Linked DNA regions of Cricetulus griseus. The protein of the gene in region 1 interacts with the protein of each later gene in a biochemical or structural test. Links are inferred from orthologs where the notes say so. Each region holds a gene or a part of one and is shown on either strand. Other genes may lie near its edges.

Evidence for each region.
Region 2: the proteins of Vdr (region 1) and Hr form a complex in vitro, tested with the Homo sapiens proteins (2 studies listed by BioGRID and IntAct). The link is inferred for Cricetulus griseus from reciprocal best matches to the Homo sapiens genes VDR and HR.
Region 3: the proteins of Vdr (region 1) and Med1 form a complex in vitro, tested with the Homo sapiens proteins (5 studies listed by BioGRID). The link is inferred for Cricetulus griseus from reciprocal best matches to the Homo sapiens genes VDR and MED1.
Region 4: the proteins of Vdr (region 1) and Snw1 form a complex in vitro, tested with the Homo sapiens proteins (2 studies listed by BioGRID, with this or other methods). The link is inferred for Cricetulus griseus from reciprocal best matches to the Homo sapiens genes VDR and SNW1.
Region 5: the proteins of Vdr (region 1) and histone lysine acetyltransferase CREBBP form a complex in vitro, tested with the Homo sapiens proteins (2 studies listed by BioGRID). The link is inferred for Cricetulus griseus from reciprocal best matches to the Homo sapiens genes VDR and CREBBP.

The regions. Positions count from the first base shown.
Region 1 is NC_048595.1:394,401,416-394,405,529, reverse strand, and holds the start of Vdr (vitamin D3 receptor), read left to right. Parts: upstream 1-1,307; 5' UTR 1,308-1,388; intron 1,389-4,114.
Region 2 is NW_023276807.1:225,197,170-225,201,212, reverse strand, and holds the start of Hr (lysine-specific demethylase hairless), read right to left. Parts: upstream 2,817-4,043; 5' UTR 2,680-2,816; intron 2,183-2,679; 5' UTR 2,059-2,182; intron 536-2,058; 5' UTR 1-535. UniProt on the Homo sapiens protein: Histone demethylase that specifically demethylates both mono- and dimethylated 'Lys-9' of histone H3. May act as a transcription regulator controlling hair biology (via targeting of collagens), neural activity, and cell cycle.
Region 3 is NC_048600.1:111,279,690-111,282,116, reverse strand, and holds part of Med1 (mediator of RNA polymerase II transcription subunit 1), read left to right. Parts: coding exon 1-1,292; 3' UTR 1,293-2,427. UniProt on the Homo sapiens protein: Component of the Mediator complex, a coactivator involved in the regulated transcription of nearly all RNA polymerase II-dependent genes.
Region 4 is NC_048598.1:116,339,220-116,342,736, reverse strand, and holds part of Snw1 (SNW domain-containing protein 1), read right to left. Parts: intron 2,128-3,517; coding exon 2,032-2,127; intron 1,943-2,031; coding exon 1,836-1,942; intron 600-1,835; coding exon 495-599; intron 1-494. UniProt on the Homo sapiens protein: Involved in pre-mRNA splicing as component of the spliceosome. As a component of the minor spliceosome, involved in the splicing of U12-type introns in pre-mRNAs.
Region 5 is NC_048600.1:42,570,967-42,574,483, forward strand, and holds part of histone lysine acetyltransferase CREBBP, read left to right. Parts: coding exon 1-52; intron 53-2,277; coding exon 2,278-2,439; intron 2,440-2,738; coding exon 2,739-3,020; intron 3,021-3,517. UniProt on the Homo sapiens protein: Acetylates histones, giving a specific tag for transcriptional activation. Mediates acetylation of histone H3 at 'Lys-18' and 'Lys-27' (H3K18ac and H3K27ac, respectively).

The DNA.
Region 1 (4,114 bases):
GGTTTTTCAAGACAGGGTTTCTCTGTGTAACTCTGGCTGTCCTGGAATTTACCCCAAAGACCAGGCTGACCTGGAACTCACAGAAATCCACCTACCTCTGCCTCCCGAGTGCTGGGATTAAAGGTGTGTGCCACCTCCACCCAGCCAGTCTAGAGGGGTTTAAAGCTGTTAACTCTGAAGTATAGTTACCAGAGACCACTGCCTGCCCTCAAGGCTTCCGGGAAAGGTAGTGTAAGAAAGCAATCTCTCTCTATTCCAGGACCTACCCAGGGAAATGTGGAGTCAGGAGACAATAAAAGGTTCTAGGAGAACAAGGAGAAAGAAATCTTGCTTTTGTCACTGTTATAAAATGACTTACTGGGAATAAAGCTTGGGTGGCTAAAATTCTTGTTCAGTATAAATACAAAGTGTCTTATTATAAGGTAACAAACCATATGACAGACTAATACACTCTATGGTGGCTCATTGTTGCCTGGAGATGGTGGCAAAGGTTCGATGGGATGGACAGAGCTATGAAAGAGAGCAGAGTCTGGAGGGCCAGATGAGGTCCAGGAACTGGGGGAGGATGAGAAGGACATACTAGAAGTGTGATGGTGGGAGCAAATCATAGTGTGTGACATCTGTAACCTTGCAAAATTTGCCAAATCTAGAACCTCTGAGTTCTTCATGGCAAGAGAGGATCGGGGGATGGGGTGCAGAGAACCGGGAAGCTGAGGCAAAGCCAGCTGGAATGAGATCGCAGTTAGCCAGGAACGTGCCCCCTCGCTGTGGTTAAGCCGCCGGATAGGAGAGAGCTCACAACTCCAGTCTCCAGTCCACTTGGGTCCCCCTGTGCTTGTCCTAACCGGTGAAGTCCGGCTTTGCGCCCAGCATCAGAAACTGGCCGGCGATTTCCCAACGGCGAACGGAGAAAGGCTCCTCGCAGCGCGCCGCGGGCGTCGGGGTCCCGGGTCAGCTCAGGTGCGAGTGACGCACCTGGCAAAGGCGTCTGCAGCAGACTGGGTAGAACCACGGCAGCGGGGCGGGGGTGAGGTGGCGAATACATCACGGATCACCGCAAGCAGAAACATGGATCTGCACGAACGGAATCATGAAAGACCGCCCCAAGTAGGGCAGAAGCCTGCGCCTCGCTGTGACCGGAGGTCGTGGATCCTTTCACAAAGCAGGGTCTCCTAGGCGACAGTGCAGTGGTTGACTCCAAGTCAAGAAGGTTTCAGGGCAGGAGAGGACTGGACCTGGTGGGCGTGGCTAAGGGAACAGGGCGGTCCGGGGGCGGGGCCTTGCGGGGCGGGGCCAGGTGCTGAGCCGTCTCTGCTTGTCAAAAGGCAGCTGCCGAGCCAGCCCTAAACGCCGGGAGCGCCAAGCAGCGTGTCCACCCGCCGGACCAGGTGAGGATCAGGGAGCAGCGGGAACCGGGTTCAGGGTGAGAGATTAGATTCAGGGGCGGGCGTCCGGGGTCGAGAGGTCTTAGTGCCCAGGGGCAAGAACTAGAGACCAAGTTTCGGTAGCAAAGTTGGCGATTGAGATCCGGACTGTGGTGCCATGAGGTTGGAACTCTGAGAGGGCACCCAGGTCTGAGAAAGTTGAAGTTCGTGAGATGTTGAAGAGGGGGCAGCCACCTTCCGGGATGCTTGGGGGGCTCAGCGCAGGAGTCCTTCGCTAGGACAGTTCTCACCGGACAACAAGCGTTTGTTTCCTTCCTCGGACCTGCGCTCTAGCGTGGAATGGAGGAGTAAGAAAGCAAGTGATTGGCTGTGGATGTAGCTAAGGTCTCTGGGGGTGGAGTGTGAGTAGCCTGTTTATTACCCAGTTGGGCCCATGTGTGATCACCTGTGATGGTGGAGTAGAATCCTTTAAATGGAGTTTTCTTTTGTTAACTTTCGAAAACCGCCGGTGCTTTGAGACCTAGTGTACTGGATTTCTTTATCAGAAAAGCCTGTCCACAGACGTCCAGAGGGACTCAGGGGCCAGTGTGGAAACTGAGGAAGGGATTTAAGAAATAGTTTCTGTTTGGTGAGTGAGGTTCGGAGGGAGTATTTGGAAGGGAACTGCATGATCCACTGTCGTCACGACCACTATCACCCACCTGAGGCTGCCTGCCTGTTCTGGGGGAGCCTTGCTTCTATGAGCCTAGGCCACACTCCTCTTCCTCCTCCTGCTCCTCCTCCTCTCCCTCCTCCTCCTGCTCCTCCTTGTGGTGAGTGAGTCAGCCTCCTGTCTGGGCTCAGAGCAGCAGAGGGGCCAGAGCCCAGGCAAGCAGTTGGGCAGGCATTTTCTGAGCATTGCAGAAGTTCCCTTGGACAGAGTTCAGCTCTTCCCCAGTGTCCTGGGGAAGGCCATCTTCTTCATGGACATCAGGGGTGGGGGAGTGTCATCAATGGTTATTTGATGGCCATGGGCTGATTCCAGGTGACCAAGAAGAGACTTTGACTGTTCTCTGGGATTGGAGGTACATCCCAATATTATAGGCTTACCAGCTACTGGATCCACTTCTACTGTGTTAGTGAGCCATCTTGCCTAGTAAGGCAGGCATAGAGGAGAAATCGGAAGAGAGTTTGGGGAGCAGAAAAGGCAAGCAAGGTTTTTTCCCAGGCTAGGGAGTAAGAGTGGATTCTCAGAGGCAGAGGGGGTTGTCTGGACCTAGGTCCTCAACTCTGTGAGCTAAGGGTATTTTACATTTGGGAACCATCGCTATTTCTTTCCCAGATTAACACTGGAGAGAACTGTGTGGATCTCTGTGGAACACTTTTCAGTACTGGCATGCAGCCAGAACAGGAGGTAGTAAGAGTGAAATCCTCTGCTGGTTTTGTTTTAGATACTAGAGACCCTTGAGCAGAAATGGGTAACCTGGGCCCCCACTCAGTAGCCTTTTCTAGCTTGTTTGAGAGGAACCCAGGGAGCCTGACACAGTTACATTGCCTCAAACTGTAAAGAGGTAGGAAATCACATTCTGTGCTCCGGCTTTAGGTTTGGCTATTCCTGAGCAGCCGTGACTTGGTTCCTGACCAAGACGGAGAAGGGACTGGGAAAGGAGAGAAAGGAAGAGAATCAGGCAGCCCAGCTGACCCCTCACACTTCCCCAGATACAATCCTATGCCTGTGCTTCAGGATGTTGTGCTTATTTGTAATGACGTTTCTCAGCTCCATCCCCTGTCTACCTATGAACTGATCTCTTTGAGGGACAGAGCCCTCTGGAAGCCCTCAAAAACCCCCTGGACCTCTGCCTTCAGCACAGATTGCAGGTATCCAAAGCTTAGGCCTTCAATAGAGGAAGGCCTAGGATAGTGGTTCCCAACCTTCCTAATGCTGCGACCTTTTAATACAGTTTCTCGTATTACGATGACCCCAACCATAAAATCATTTCGTTGCTACTTCATAACTGTAATTGTGATACTGTTATGAATTGTAGTTTAAATATCTGATGTCAGAATATCCGATATGTGACCGACCTCTTGTGGAGGTCATGACCCACAGGTTGAGAACCACTGGCCTAGGGTCTGGTGGGCTAGACCAAGAAGTTACCCAATACAGGAGAATTCTGTTGTACAGTTTTTCACCCTACATCCTAGGGATTGGCTACAATCAGCGTCTGGGCTGCTGCTGTCTATGCAGAATGGCAAGGCCAGGGTACCTGGGTCACATTCTGATGTGTAGCTGGATGGTGGGTTAGAGGGCTCCAGCTTCTGCTTGTCACTGCTGTGATGTTTGGGATGCAGGTAGAGGGAATAAGGACACAACCAGATTTGATTAAGAGCCTCCTGTGTGTCCCAGCATAGTGCCAGGCTGCCAAGGGATGTCAGCAGGCAGATCTCAGCAGGCCAGGCTTCTGCCTCCAAAGAGAGCTCCATGAGGAGCAGCAGCCCTGGCACCATCTCCACTGCTGTCCAGTCGAAGGCTCTGATGGGCTGAAGCCAGCTGGGCAGCTGCTCTAGACCAGCAGGACCTCACTTGTAGCTGCTGCTCTCTGATTTGTCCTTAACATTCCTTAGTGACTGTGTGATTTACTGTCCAAACTGGGATGCTCATGAGTTAAAGGGGGTTTTGTGTGTGGCCATGCAGAGACATAAACCCAAACCCAGGAGAGCTGCAAATCTACTCATCCAAACCCAGGAGA
Region 2 (4,043 bases), on another chromosome or scaffold:
TCGCTCCCCATGGGCCGGCTTCGGGGCGTTCTCCCTCTTTCTACTCAGCGCGCTCGCGCTCTCTTTCCCCCCGGGCGTCGGGGGCGCTCTAGGGCCGCAGGTTGGAGGGGTCGGACTCCGGGATTTGCAGGATGCGGCACACGGCGCGGATGGGCCGCACCAGCTTCTGGGCCAAGGCTGTAGGTTGCGCCATGGGACGCCGAGACTCCGTGCTGCGCTTTGAGGAGGGTCGGGCCGGGGCTAGGGAGCGGTGTCCCTGGAGGGAGAGAAGAAACCGGGCCGGGGGGAACGCGCGCCCCGGTCGGAGATGGCTGAGTGGGGGGAAAGGCCGAGAGGCCGGGGAAGGGGGTCGTGCCTGGAAGTGGGGGGCCGATGCCGAGAGCCAGGAGAGAGGCACCAATGAGGGCGCAGCACCGCGCAGCGCGGCTAATGGAGGGAGAGCGCAGCGGAGAGCGCAGCAGGACCTCTGATCGCCATCGCCAGACGCGCAACTGAGAGTGGGGAAGCTGCTCCGCCGGTTTCCTCCTCCAGCACCCTGCGGGAAACAGGAGCCCGTGATTCGGCGGCCCCGCCTGGGCCTGCCCCCTTCTGAGCCCCGGGGGCTTCCGCCAACGCCCCGGCGATGCCACCGGCTGCGCACGGGGAGAATGAGCCCTTTGTTCCCCCCTCCCCCCGCGGCACCCGGGCGCCTGCCGAGAGAGGCTCCCCTGGGGCAGTGTGCCAGCTTCCCAGCCGCCCCACCCTCCCGTGGGCCCGGCCCGGAGCCTGGCAGGCGGGCAGCACCCCCACTATAGGTGCCAAGCCCGGGAACTGGAGCAAAGGGCGGGAGGGGCCGGACCAGGCCACGGTGAGGCGGGGTGCCCCCCGGGGTGCCAGGGCGGGGCGGCAGGGAGGGGTCAGTGCCAGAGCTGGCAGGGGCAGTCGGGTTCTCACGGGTCAGTGATGGGTGCTACGACCCACGCCAGCAGGCCCGTGCCTGCTGGACCACTCTCTCCCTGTCCTTTCCAGCTTTGGGCACACCCCAATGGCTGGTGTCTTCCCTACCACATTCTTAATCTTCACCTGCCCAAGCCCCTCTTCCCAGCATCCCTCTCAGAGCACAAGGTTACTCGAAGTGTTATGCTTTGGAATCTGGGAGGGCCTGCCGTCTGGTCTGTTCCCTGGTCTAAGGGACTTGATTTCTACCAAGTGTCCAGAGGTGATGGGACCAGACGCATACAACTATCCCAAGCTCCCGTTGGGGTTGTCTGCTGGGCTGCCCCATCCTACTGTTCCTGGTGCTCCCAGGCCCAGCCTGGAGAGTAGCCCATGGGAGTGGCTCCTGGGAGGGAACAGCAAGTAGGAGAGGAAATGGGCAAACAGGGCACCCTCCACCCGAGGAAGCATCCCTGCTCTTCTGCGGGGGTGGTTCCAGAGCGCACACACAAACAGACAGATTCAGACAGACACACACAGAAACCCACACGCCCAACCAGTGCTTCCCTTCCCTGAAGGCACCCACCTCCTGCCCCTCTACTCCCCTGCCTCTCTGTGCCCAGTCCGAAACAGAAGCAATACCACCTACTTCCCCATCCCCGTAGATGGGATGAATTCTGGAGGCCACAACCTGATCCCAAGTTACACCACCATCTCTCAAGAGGGTGTCCATGAAGAGCCTAAGGTCTTTCTCTCAAAAGGGACAAGAATGAAGACAAGAAGCCTTTCACCAACTGTTGAGGACAGAATGGGTACTTGGGAGAGGAGGGCCATACAGCTGAAACTGTTCAGATGTGGGCCTTGTTGACACAGATCTTCCTAGCCCCTCACCTTCACAGAGGCCAAGTTGGAAGGGGGCAGGCTGGCAGGAATTGTTCACTTGATTGAGTTTTTCCTACTCCTTTTCTTATCCATTCCCTTGGGGGTGACCTGACTCTAGTGTGCCATGGAGATGAATGAGGAGGGTCTAACAGGAACTGGAGCCCCAAGGCTCCAGCCTGGCCTCTAGCTCCCAGCCTGGCTCCTGGGCTAGGTGGTGGGCTGGGATTTGCCTGTGGTCCCAATCTAAGTCCCTTGGCCTACCTTAGCTGAGGAGGCCTGTGGGAGAATCGTTGTTTGGGGGAAGGTCCTGTGGCTTGAGGTCTGGAAGAGGCCAGAGTAGAAGCTTGTGCTGTCCAGAGTCCCAGGGGCCTGTGGCTGTCTGCCCCTAAGGTAATAGGGACTGTCTCAGGGGAGCCGGACAGATACCCACCCCCACACCTCCAGCTGCCGTATCTGCCTGTCAGATTATAGTGCCTGGACTAGACCAGAGCTCTCAGGGCAGTCTTCTGGAATGTTCAGGGGTTAGTGGAGATTAAGGTGGGAGAAGTACCACCCGCATCCAACCACATTCCTCATCCTTGCATTACAGCCTGTGCCACAGGCCAGAGTCCTTGTAGCTGACTGCTGTGCCTGAGGATGGAGCATAGCTGAGGACACATACAAAAGACACAAACACGGGGGGGGGGGAGCCACCCACTGTGTGGTCACAAGACCAGACCATGGACCTGGTAAGCTGGCTATCACCCCCAGACTCACATGGGTCCAGTCATAGCCCACACCGACCCCTCACGCACTGACACACATGCTGACACACACATTCCTGCTGACAGGCACAGCCTCACTCACAACCGGCTGCCCTTTCTCCACCCCAGAGCCCCTTACCTGGGCAAGCACAGTGCCCCCTGCCCAGGGGTGGGCAGCAGGCAGGGCGGGGGAAGGAGCCCCGGAGAGTCAGGCCAAGCTGCCACTAATCCGGGCTGGGAGAGGGGGGGCACACACGTCAGAGCGGGGACTGCCGGGTGGAGGGCATCTGAGGACATCCCCTCCCACACACGCGGCCGTCTGGGCACCTAGCCCTGCTTCCCCAGCCCCTCCATCCTTCAGACAGCTGAGGCTGGCCTCCCCCCACCCCACCCCCACCCCTGTGGCCATGCCTGAGGTGGGGGACACGGAGGGGGGGGATGATACCGGGAGAAATCTCCCAGGACAAATCTCCTAGGACCAGGGGGAGGGGACAGGGAAGGGAAGTGTGGAGATACTGCTGCCAGAGCCAGGAGGAAGCTTGGTGGTAGATATTATCCTCTCCTCTGGCCCACCCACCCACATGGTTGACCTAATTCCTCTTCTGGAGCCCTCCTTCTTTCTAGCCCTCCCCCACTGCCATCTAGATTCCATTGTGTTCCAGGCTGAGCTTGGGACTTGTGTGCCCAGCAATGTCAGCTCTGTCTTCAAGATCCCCCAGCCCTAGGCACCAGCCTTCTGCGGTAGAGATCACCTGTTAATGTGCCCCAATCCCAGGTGCTGGAGAGAAATGGGGACAAGAAGCTGTGCAGTTACCCCCAATCCCCTCCAGTGGAGGGCAGTGCCTGCCAGGACCCCCAACTCAGCCTGGGCCAGGGTCATGCGGGATCTAGTGGCTTAGTATGCTGCTGAGAGTGGCAGCTAAAAATACAGCCATGGGTTCCTGTGTGTTGTGACGTAGAAGCCAGAGAAGGGGAAAGTGACTAGGACAATGAAGAGCCACAGGCCAGAGGGACGGTGATGGGGCAAGAGGCTGAGGGCTGAAAGGATGGCAGGAGTTGAGGCAGAGGGAGAAAGGAAGTTGAGAAGGAAGCAGGTAACAGGCCAGGAAGGGTGGGAAAGGCTGAGGAGAAGGAACAGGACCAGGGCCCACAGAAAGGTTGTTCTAGGGACTGGCCTTCATGGGGTCAGGTCCTTTCCAATTTTGAGCCCACCCAAGAAGACAAGGCACCCTGGTATCAAGTAGAGGGTTGGTGGCCTTTGGAAGGCAAGAACATGGCTTAACCCCCACCCCACCTAAGAGGCCAGGCCAGAGGATCAGAGGTGGGTCAGTGACCCTCTCCAGAGGTGGATGGATAGTGCTGGGAGGGGTGTGCCTGGGTGGTTCTCAGAGAGGCGGAGCTGCTCTGAGAGATGTCCAGGTGATACCCAGTGTCCCAAGTCTCAGGCTTACATTTATGCTTGCCCAGAAAGCCTACAACTCGGACTTCTACTCAATTCTTCCT
Region 3 (2,427 bases), on another chromosome or scaffold:
GAGGGAAGCCAGGCTCCTCTCCCATTACCAAACATGGACTGAGCAGTGGATCTAGCAGTACCAAGATGAAACCTCAAGGCAAGCCATCATCACTTATGAATCCTTCTATAAGTAAACCAAACATATCCCCTTCTCATTCAAGGCCTCCTGGAGGCTCAGATAAGCTTGCCTCTCCAATGAAACCTGTTCCTGGGACCCCCCCATCCTCTAAAGCCAAGTCCCCTATCAGTTCAGGTTCTAGTGGTTCCCACATGTCAGGAACTAGTTCAAGCTCTGGCATGAAGTCATCTTCAGGGTCAGGATCCTCAGGCTCATTGTCTCAGAAAACTCCCCCAGCATCTAATTCTTGTACACCATCTTCCTCCTCATTTTCCTCAAGTGGTTCTTCCATGTCCTCCTCTCAGAATCAGCATGGGAGTTCCAAAGGGAAGTCTCCCAGTAGGAATAAGAAGCCTTCCTTGACAGCTGTCATAGATAAACTGAAGCATGGGGTTGTTACCAGTGGGCCTGGGGGTGAGGATCCAATGGACAGTCAGATGGGAGTAAGCACAAACTCTTCTAACCATCCCATGTCCTCCAAACATAACATGTCAGGAGGGGAATTCCAGAGCAAGCGTGAGAAAAGCGATAAAGACAAATCAAAGGTTTCTACTTCAGGAGGCTCAGTGGATTCTTCTAAGAAGACCTCAGAGTCAAAAAATGTGGGGAGCACGGGTGTGGCAAAAATTATTATCAGCAAACATGATGGAGGCTCCCCTAGCATTAAAGCCAAAGTGACTCTACAGAAACCTGGAGAAAGTAGTGGAGAAGGGCTCAGGCCACAGATAGCCTCCTCAAAAAACTATGGTTCTCCATTGATCAGTGGTTCCACTCCAAAGCATGAACGTGGTTCTCCCAGCCACAGTAAGTCTCCAGCATACACGCCCCAGAATGTGGACAGTGAAAGTGAGTCAGGTTCCTCCATAGCAGAAAAATCTTACCAGAACAGTCCCAGCTCAGATGACGGTATCCGACCTCTTCCAGAATACAGCACAGAGAAGCATAAGAAGCACAAAAAGGAAAAGAAGAAAGTCAAAGACAGAGACCGGGACAGAGACAAAGACAGAGACAAGAAAAAATCTCACAGCATCAAGCCAGAGAATTGGTCTAAATCGCCCATTTCCTCAGATCAGACACTGTCTATGACAAATAACCCAATCTTATCTGCAGACAGGCCTTCAAGGCTCAGCCCTGACTTTATGATGGGGGAGGAAGACGATGATCTTATGGATGTGGCCCTGATTGGCAACTAAGAACGTTATTTTCTAAACAGATATGTCCAGAGAAGAAATTAGATATATTTACATGTAAACCAACACAAGGGGTGAGTCAGATAGGCTTAAGAGTCCTGTTGGGCATGGCCTCTACACCAAGCTGGGTACATTTTAAAAGTATATCTAAACCCTACTAAAGGGACCATAGGGTTGGTCGTTCACCAACAAGTCATATTTCTTTGCCAGAAAGAAATGTTAAAAAATACTTGCTTAAGAAAGGGAGGGGGTGGGAAAGGGTATAGAGAGGGAAGGGTGGGAAAAATGTTGTGGGAAATATTCATATATATTTTTTTCTCCCTTTTTCCATTTTCAGGACATGCTTTAAACTCATTTTAGTGCATGTATTTGAAGGGCTGGGCAGAAAATGAAAAAAAGCAATACATTCCTTGATGCATTTGCATGAAGGTTGTTCACCTTTGGTGGTTGTCCATTTGAAGCATGGGCAAGGGAAGGACTTTGACAGTTTTGGACACTTAAAGTTTTGGTGTCTGTTTCTTAGGAGTGATTGGGGAGGGAAAATTATTTTAGCTATTTATTTGTAATATTTTAATCCTTAATGTTTGTTTTTATGCAATGTTTGTTCTTAAATCTATGAAGGTTATGGTTCAGAATGATAGGCAGGAAGGGCAAGGTTTGTTTCATGGTGGGGAGCTTGCAGTTTTTGCTGATGTTGCTGCATCAAGCCCACACAGGCTAATCAGAGCCAGTCTTTGGAGTTAAATAGAAAAACCAAAACTATTATCTTCAGAGGTTTTTCACAGGGTTCAGACATCATAGGAATAATAGGAATTACCTCCCTATGCAGTTAAAAGATTTATCTTTTTTCGTTAAAAAGGAAGGGTGGCTTTTGGGAGTATAAATATGTTTTCAGATTCAATACCCTATGGTATGAAAACCATTACAGAATTAATAGTTCTCCTAGTTCCACATGTGCCAAATCTACATCCCAGCATCATGTTTGCGGGAGAGCTGATGCAATTCCTATGAGCTGGACTCTTTCTCTTCATCACAAGAAAGAGGAGTTCAGACTTCAGTCACTCTACTGTATGCCCCCCGAGAGAAACAGTTTTAAAAAATGCAGCCATAGTTCACTTAAAACAATTTCAAGCTCACT
Region 4 (3,517 bases), on another chromosome or scaffold:
CAGGTGTAAGACATTTTCTCACTTAGTGATCAATGGGGAAGGGCTCAGCCCATGATGTTATCCCTGGGCTGTTGGCCCTGGGTTCTATAGGCGGGCTTAGCAAGACATGGGAAGCAAGCCAGTAAACATCGCCCCTCCATAGCCCTCTGCATCAGCTCCTGCTTCAGGGATCCTGGCCTGTTTTGAGTTCCTGTCCTGTCCTGACTTCCTTCAGTGATAAACAGCAATGCTAAAGTGTAAGTCGAATAAATCCTTTCCTATCCAACTTGCTTTTTGGTCATGATGTTTCATCATAGCAATAGAAACCTCAATTAAGCCGGGCGGTGGTGGCACATGCCTTTAATCCCAGCATCGGGAGGCAGAGACAGGCAGACCCCTGAGAGTTCGAGGTCCGCCTCATCTACAAAGCTACACAGAAAAACCCTGTCTCAAAAAACAAAAACAAACAAACAAACAAAAAACCTCAATTAAGACACTCATGAAGCCATACTTACTTGAATCTTGGCGGCTCCATTGGATCTTTCTGCATTTCTACCATCCGAATAACCCTCTGTTTAGCTCCAGAGTTGAATGCTACTCCTTGCTGAGATGGTGTGTAGCTAAATAGATGAAAATTAAAGGTGTAATTAGTTCAAGCTTTTGGTAGGCATTTATCTTCTATTATAGTTCCACATGACTATACTTTCAATTCTTTTCAGGAAGTACTGACATAAAATCACCATACATTTAGGCAGGGCAGTCAGAAGCAGACCAGAAAAGAAACAGAAGTGAAATCAAACAAAATATGCACTTAAGTGGTTATTGACTTCCCTCTTCATCCTTTCCACATTCCACCTGGGAAATACACCTGTCCAGCTTCCCCAGGTCTAAAACTAACACCTGCTTTTAAGTCTACATTATAGAATAAAATTGCCAGGGCTGAGAGATGGCTCAGCAGTTAAGAGCACTGGCTGCTCTTCCAAAGTTCAATTCCCAGAACCCACATGGCTGCTCACCACTGCCTGCAACTTCAGTTCCTGCAACTCTTCCTCTGGCCTCGTTGGGCACTGGGCATGCAGGCAAAACATACATACATATATAATAACAATAAATAAATGAGTAAAAGTTTTTTAAAGAAAGGAAAATAGTTACAATAGTATGCCCACTGGCAACATGCAATGTATGCTGTAAAAACTGCAGCAGCAGCCCTAACTCAAAATTTTCCCTTAACATCTAGTTCCAATCATTCTTCACAAAGACAGTCCAGTAAAGGCCCTCAACATTTAGCAGCATTATAAAAGTTTATTAAATATAATCAAAAACTATAAACAATTGTCGTTTGGGTCATATACCATAGGTAACAATTATTTTCTAAAAAACTGAAAATCAAGGCGGTGGTAGAGCAGGCCTTTAGTCCCAGCACTCAGAAGGCAGAGGCAGGTTGATCTCTGTGAGTTCGAGGCCTGCCTCCCGAGTGCTGGGACCGTTAACATCTTAATGTAGGGATTAAAAAAAAAACTTCTGGGGACTGAGAGATGGCTCAGTGGTTTGGGAGGTCCTGAGTTCCCAGCACCCACATGGTGGCTCAGGACCATTTTTATGGAATTCAATGTCACCTTGTGTCTGATTCCCTTTCCTGTCCTGTAGGCATACATGCAAACAGAGCACTCTACACTAAATAAATAAACCTGAAAATTAAAAACAAACACACAAAAAAAGCCTTTTGCAAACTAGAGTTGATAGGCTTCAAAGGTCATTAAGACAATGCATTTGAACTGGCTTTGTAAGCTGGTGAGTCTTCAAAATCCCACCTAGGGAGTCTGACATGCAACTAACACTTCCAGCAGGGTGCATACCGGATATACTGAGCAGGAGCCAGCTTGTCAGCTGCACGAACAGGCATGGCTGCAGCAACCTTCTGCGACACAGACTTCTCCAAGGCTACTCTTGTCTTCTCTGTTATCTGAGATGAGAAGCAGCACGGTGAGCAGTTGGAAATTAATAAGGACACAAAGTCATCTAAAATAATCACATACACCAACCCCTAGTTACCTCTTTAATAGCCTCTTCATCAGGCCTTTGCAGGTCTGGATCATCTGCATTCATAACCTCCTTTGGAACCAGGTCAGTGTACTTGCTGTAAATGACCTAAAAGTGTTCAAACACAAGCAGCTTAGGAACACACAGGGTGGAGGGAAGCAGCCTCATTAAGTCGCTGTACATGTCAACATGTCCTTTCAGCATATTTACGCATTTAGGATACTCAGTTTTGTCGTTCAGATTTTAAAACTAAAGGAGCTTAAAATATGTACACAAATTGCTGCCCTGGCTCCAAGATGATCACTTTCCCTTGACCCCATGCATTTAAATTATTTGAAATCTTCTAATCAAGTCAGTATCCAAATACATTCTGCCAACAAAATCTTATGCATCAGTGATCTCTATTTTTGAGGCTCACTAGGACTTGAAATTAATGATGATATAAATTGCCTATAGCACCATTATCCTGGATTAAAAACTCATCAGAAATTTAAGTCCGGTTACTAAATAATTTCCAAATTCACTGGGCCTAGAAAATTCCATTGCCCTCATCCTATTTATAATGTTTCTGTTTTCTGGAATCAATTCTATTCACAAATTAGGAAAGTGAAAATGAACAAAAAGAAAAAACCCAGAATATTTTCTTCTACAAGAGTCAGAAAAAACAAAAATATATTTATATATGTGTTCTAGTTTCATTTCTGTCTGTTATAGCCTAACCAAAAGAAAATCAGGGAGGAAAGGGTTTATTTGGCTTATAATTCCAAGTTAGAGTCTATTATTGAGAGACGTCAAGGCAGGAACTCAAGCGTCTAGTCACATTATATCCAGTCAAGTGCAGGGAGAAATCAATGACTCTGCCGCTTGCTCTCATTTAGTTTTCGCCTGACTCACATAGTGGGGAACCCATCTGCCTAAGGGATAGTGGTGCCGACAATGGGCTGTCTTCTTTTATCAGTCATCAAGACAATCCCTTACAGACATGCCCACAGGCCAACCTAATTTAGACAAGTACTCAACTGAAGCTCCCTTCCCAGTGATTCAGGTTGTAGCAAATTGACAATCAAAATTAATCACCCCAATACGTAAATTGCATCAGGACCAACACCTTCCTTTTACCTTTTAGGCTGATGCTGGTGTAATGCGCTTTTGAAACAGATCATTTACTTGCCTGCTATCTATACTTCCCAAGTACCTCCATTAAAATGTACATGGCAGACTTTAAAGAAAAAAAAAAAAAAACGATACTAGAAATTTTAACCAATAGTTTAGATTTTAATACTTTTATTAGAAATTCTTTGGCACACATACATACCAAGAACAACTTATGGGGCAGGAGAGATGGCTCAGCAGTTAAAAACATTTTCTGTTCTTACAAAGGACCATGGTTCAGTTCCCAGAACCCACGAGGTGGCTCGACAGTCTGTAACTTTGGTTCCAGGGGATCTAACACTTTCTTCTATTATTTTTTATTTTTATTCTATTATTTTTTTTTTCT
Region 5 (3,517 bases), on another chromosome or scaffold:
AGAAGAAGAGAGGAAAAAAGAAGAGAGTACTGCAGCTAGTGAAACCCCTGAGGTACTGCCCCCACTAGAGCTGTGCCACCAGAATGGCAGGCTGGAAACTACATTTCTGTTGGGTTCTTTCTGTGGATGTTCTCATATGCATGTAGGGCATCACCATCAACAGCAGTAAGTGGGTATGGGGTCTCTATACAAGAGATACTCCTATGGGGTACCATGGTTAGACATAGAGAGTGGAGGGAAGGTGGTGCTCTGTTGGAGCCAGGACACTACATGGAGATGGATGAAAGTTACTTCCCAGATAAACTGAAGTTCCAAGCCTTGGACTGCATATTGTGGCAACTACTCATTTTGCGGTTTGTTTTTTTGTTTGTTTTTTGTTATTGTTGTTTTGGTTTGGTTTGGTTTGGTTTTTTGTTTTTTGGGGGGTTTTTTTTTGGCTCTCAACCTGTTCACTGTTTATTACCCCTGTGTACCAGGAGTGCAGAGTAAACTAAACAAGACCATGTCCCTTCCCTAAGAGGTATTTTATACTAGGAGAAACAGGAAGTGCCTGGAGAGCTGCATCGTGTGTTTTCAGGTGATGGGGCAACTCTGAGAAGAAAGGATTTTAAGGTATAGAAGACAGCAGGAGGACTGAGGGTAGCTTTGGAAACTGACATAGGAGCTGGAATCCCACTTGAGTTACAGGGGATGGAGTCTTCCACGACGAGGAAGAAATATTTTATATTGAAGGTCACAAGGCATTGTGTTATTGCCAGGTAGAGCTGACAGTGGCTTATATTGGTTATAGTTATAGGTTCTCTAGATGTGTGCAGTGACTTCTGTGGAGAGTGTTTGTGGCATGTGTATAGCTGGAACTCACTTTGATGAGAGAGAAGCAAAGAGTGGCTTGTGTTGCTCCAAAGGAAGTGGCCGAGATTGGGCCCCATTGGGTTTGGAGGTGCTGGCAGCATGTAGCAACACCTGAAGCCTCGCATCAGCATGCATGCTCAGGGCACATATGATTCGTTGAATGGTTACAATGTGCCAAGCACTGTGCATGTTGAGCTATGTCTTCAAAAGGACAGCTTTAACAGAGAAAGCACATACCAGGGTCAAACAAGAGTTTGTGTCCTGGCGGTTCCCAAAAACTCCCAAATTGTCCCTATTGTCTGACTTTCTCTCACTGGAGCCTCTACAAATTGGTCTGTCCTTTGACCCTCTCAGTAACCTGGCTAGTTTTTACTATGGTTTGATTTCTTACCCTACTGCAAAACAGTTCCCAAGGAAACTGGAGAAGAGAGGCCATATTCAAAATGGCTGACTCAGAGTACATTGCAGTGGAGACCAAGTGACCAGGAGGCCACTGGCCATGCCAGGCCCCAGAGTAAAGGTAGCCTGACTCAGAACCATTTGTCTGAGCTTGTAAAGGACAGCAGTGATGGCATCATTTGAGGAAGTGGATTGTGGGTCCATCTGTGGGAGTCACTGGTGCACAGCACAGCAGTACTACAGGATAAAGAAGTTCTCTTGGTCAGATCAAATGAGTGGGTTTTTTTTGTTTGTTTCTTTTGTATTTTTGTTTTTGTTTGTTTGTTTGTTTGTTTGTTTGTTTGTTTGTTTTTTTTGTTTGTTTGTTTGTTTTTTTTGGTCTTTGGAGATAGGGTTTCTCTGTGGCTTTGGAGCCCGTCCTGGAACTAGCTCTTGTAGACCAGACTGGTCTCAAACTCACAGAGATCCACCTGCTTCCCGAGTGCTGAGATTAAAGGCATGCGCCACCAACACCCGGCTCTAATTACCTTTTTTTATGTTGTTTTCTAAGTGGTTAATACTCTAAGTTATTTTCATATATTAGGCTCATTGGAGCACTTGAATTGGGGAGTGTATCCCTGTTAGACCTCAGCAAAGTAGTAACAACGGGTTGCAAGGAAAGCTTAGATATGTTCTACCTAGTGCAAGTGTTGAGTGGGACCTGAAAAGTCAGCTGAGTGTGCATGCTTCTCTTGGTGCTGCCCACCATTTGAAACTTCCCCCAGTCTTTTGAAAATTCATACAGATGAGCAGGCCTACCCAAGACAAAGAAGCAGGTGCTGAGCATACAGGATGGAACAACATGGCACTCCTGTCTAGGGAATTATGAGGAGTGGTAAGAAAACTTCCTCTTAGAATCTAAGCTTAGATTCTGAATAACAGGACATACAAGGTGCCAGTCTAGTGGCAGCATGCAGCCCAGGTACATATGGGGTCTCTACAGCCAGGAAATGGATGTTGTTGTGACAGTTTTGCATGTCATTACAGGGCAGTCAAGGTGACAGCAAGAATGCCAAGAAAAAGAACAATAAAAAAACCAACAAAAACAAAAGCAGCATTAGCCGAGCCAACAAGAAGAAGCCCAGCATGCCCAATGTGTCCAACGACCTGTCCCAGAAGCTGTATGCCACCATGGAGAAACATAAGGAGGTAGTGGCATAGTCTTATGGGAGGTTCTGGGAATACTCAGAACCGAGAGGAACAGCAGGCACCAGGCCTCCTGTGCAAATCTTTGGTAGAAGCAAATCTTTGGTAGAAATCTTTTATAGAAGGTGGAACAGTAGTTTGTTAATATATTGTGTGGCTTGTCATCAGTTATGTTCCATCCCAGGAAACCGGGGCCTCAAGCAGGCCCTGCGTGTGGTTAGCCTCCTATTACATAGGAATATGTGGCCCAGCCCTTGGCACAGTCTGCCTCTCTGTGGGGTTAATGCGGCTCCTCCTTTCAGGTCTTCTTTGTGATTCATCTGCATGCTGGGCCTGTTATCAGCACTCAGCCCCCCATCGTGGACCCTGACCCCCTGCTCAGCTGTGACCTCATGGATGGGCGTGATGCCTTCCTCACCCTGGCTAGAGACAAGCACTGGGAGTTCTCTTCCTTACGCCGCTCCAAATGGTCCACTCTGTGCATGCTGGTGGAACTGCACACACAGGGCCAGGACCGCTTTGTCTATACCTGCAATGAGTGCAAACACCATGTAGAGACACGCTGGCACTGCACTGTGTGTGAGGTAAGTCCCATCACCTCCCTCCTGGCCTTCCCCCATAGGTAGTATTCTAGCATTGTCCTCTGCAGCATTGGGTGCAGGTGTTAACATCTGTGCACAACATTGTACTGTGTCTCTCACCATGGGGAACCAGGCATGAGTGACACCCTTGTTGTCCTCTTACCTGTGCTCTTGTCTGCTACAGCTACAGTCCATGTACTGAGGCATCCTGACTGTAGAAAGACACTCCGAGACACTTTGGTTCTACAGGGATCCTGGTGTATTTATCTCTTCCTAGCCTTGCTAAGGGATTAGGGACACATTTTGCCCTGTTTGCAGGTTGGCACCTTTGATGAGGTCCAGTGGCATGATCAGCATGTGATCAGAAGACTTGATGGTCGAGTATGCCACTGGCAGGCTCACTGTCTCCTGCCCCATGGGTAGCTTGTCTTCAGCCATGCAGAGCTTGTCCTGGGCAAAACAAAGGCTGCCTAGCCCTTCCTTCTTTCTTACCTTTAAAT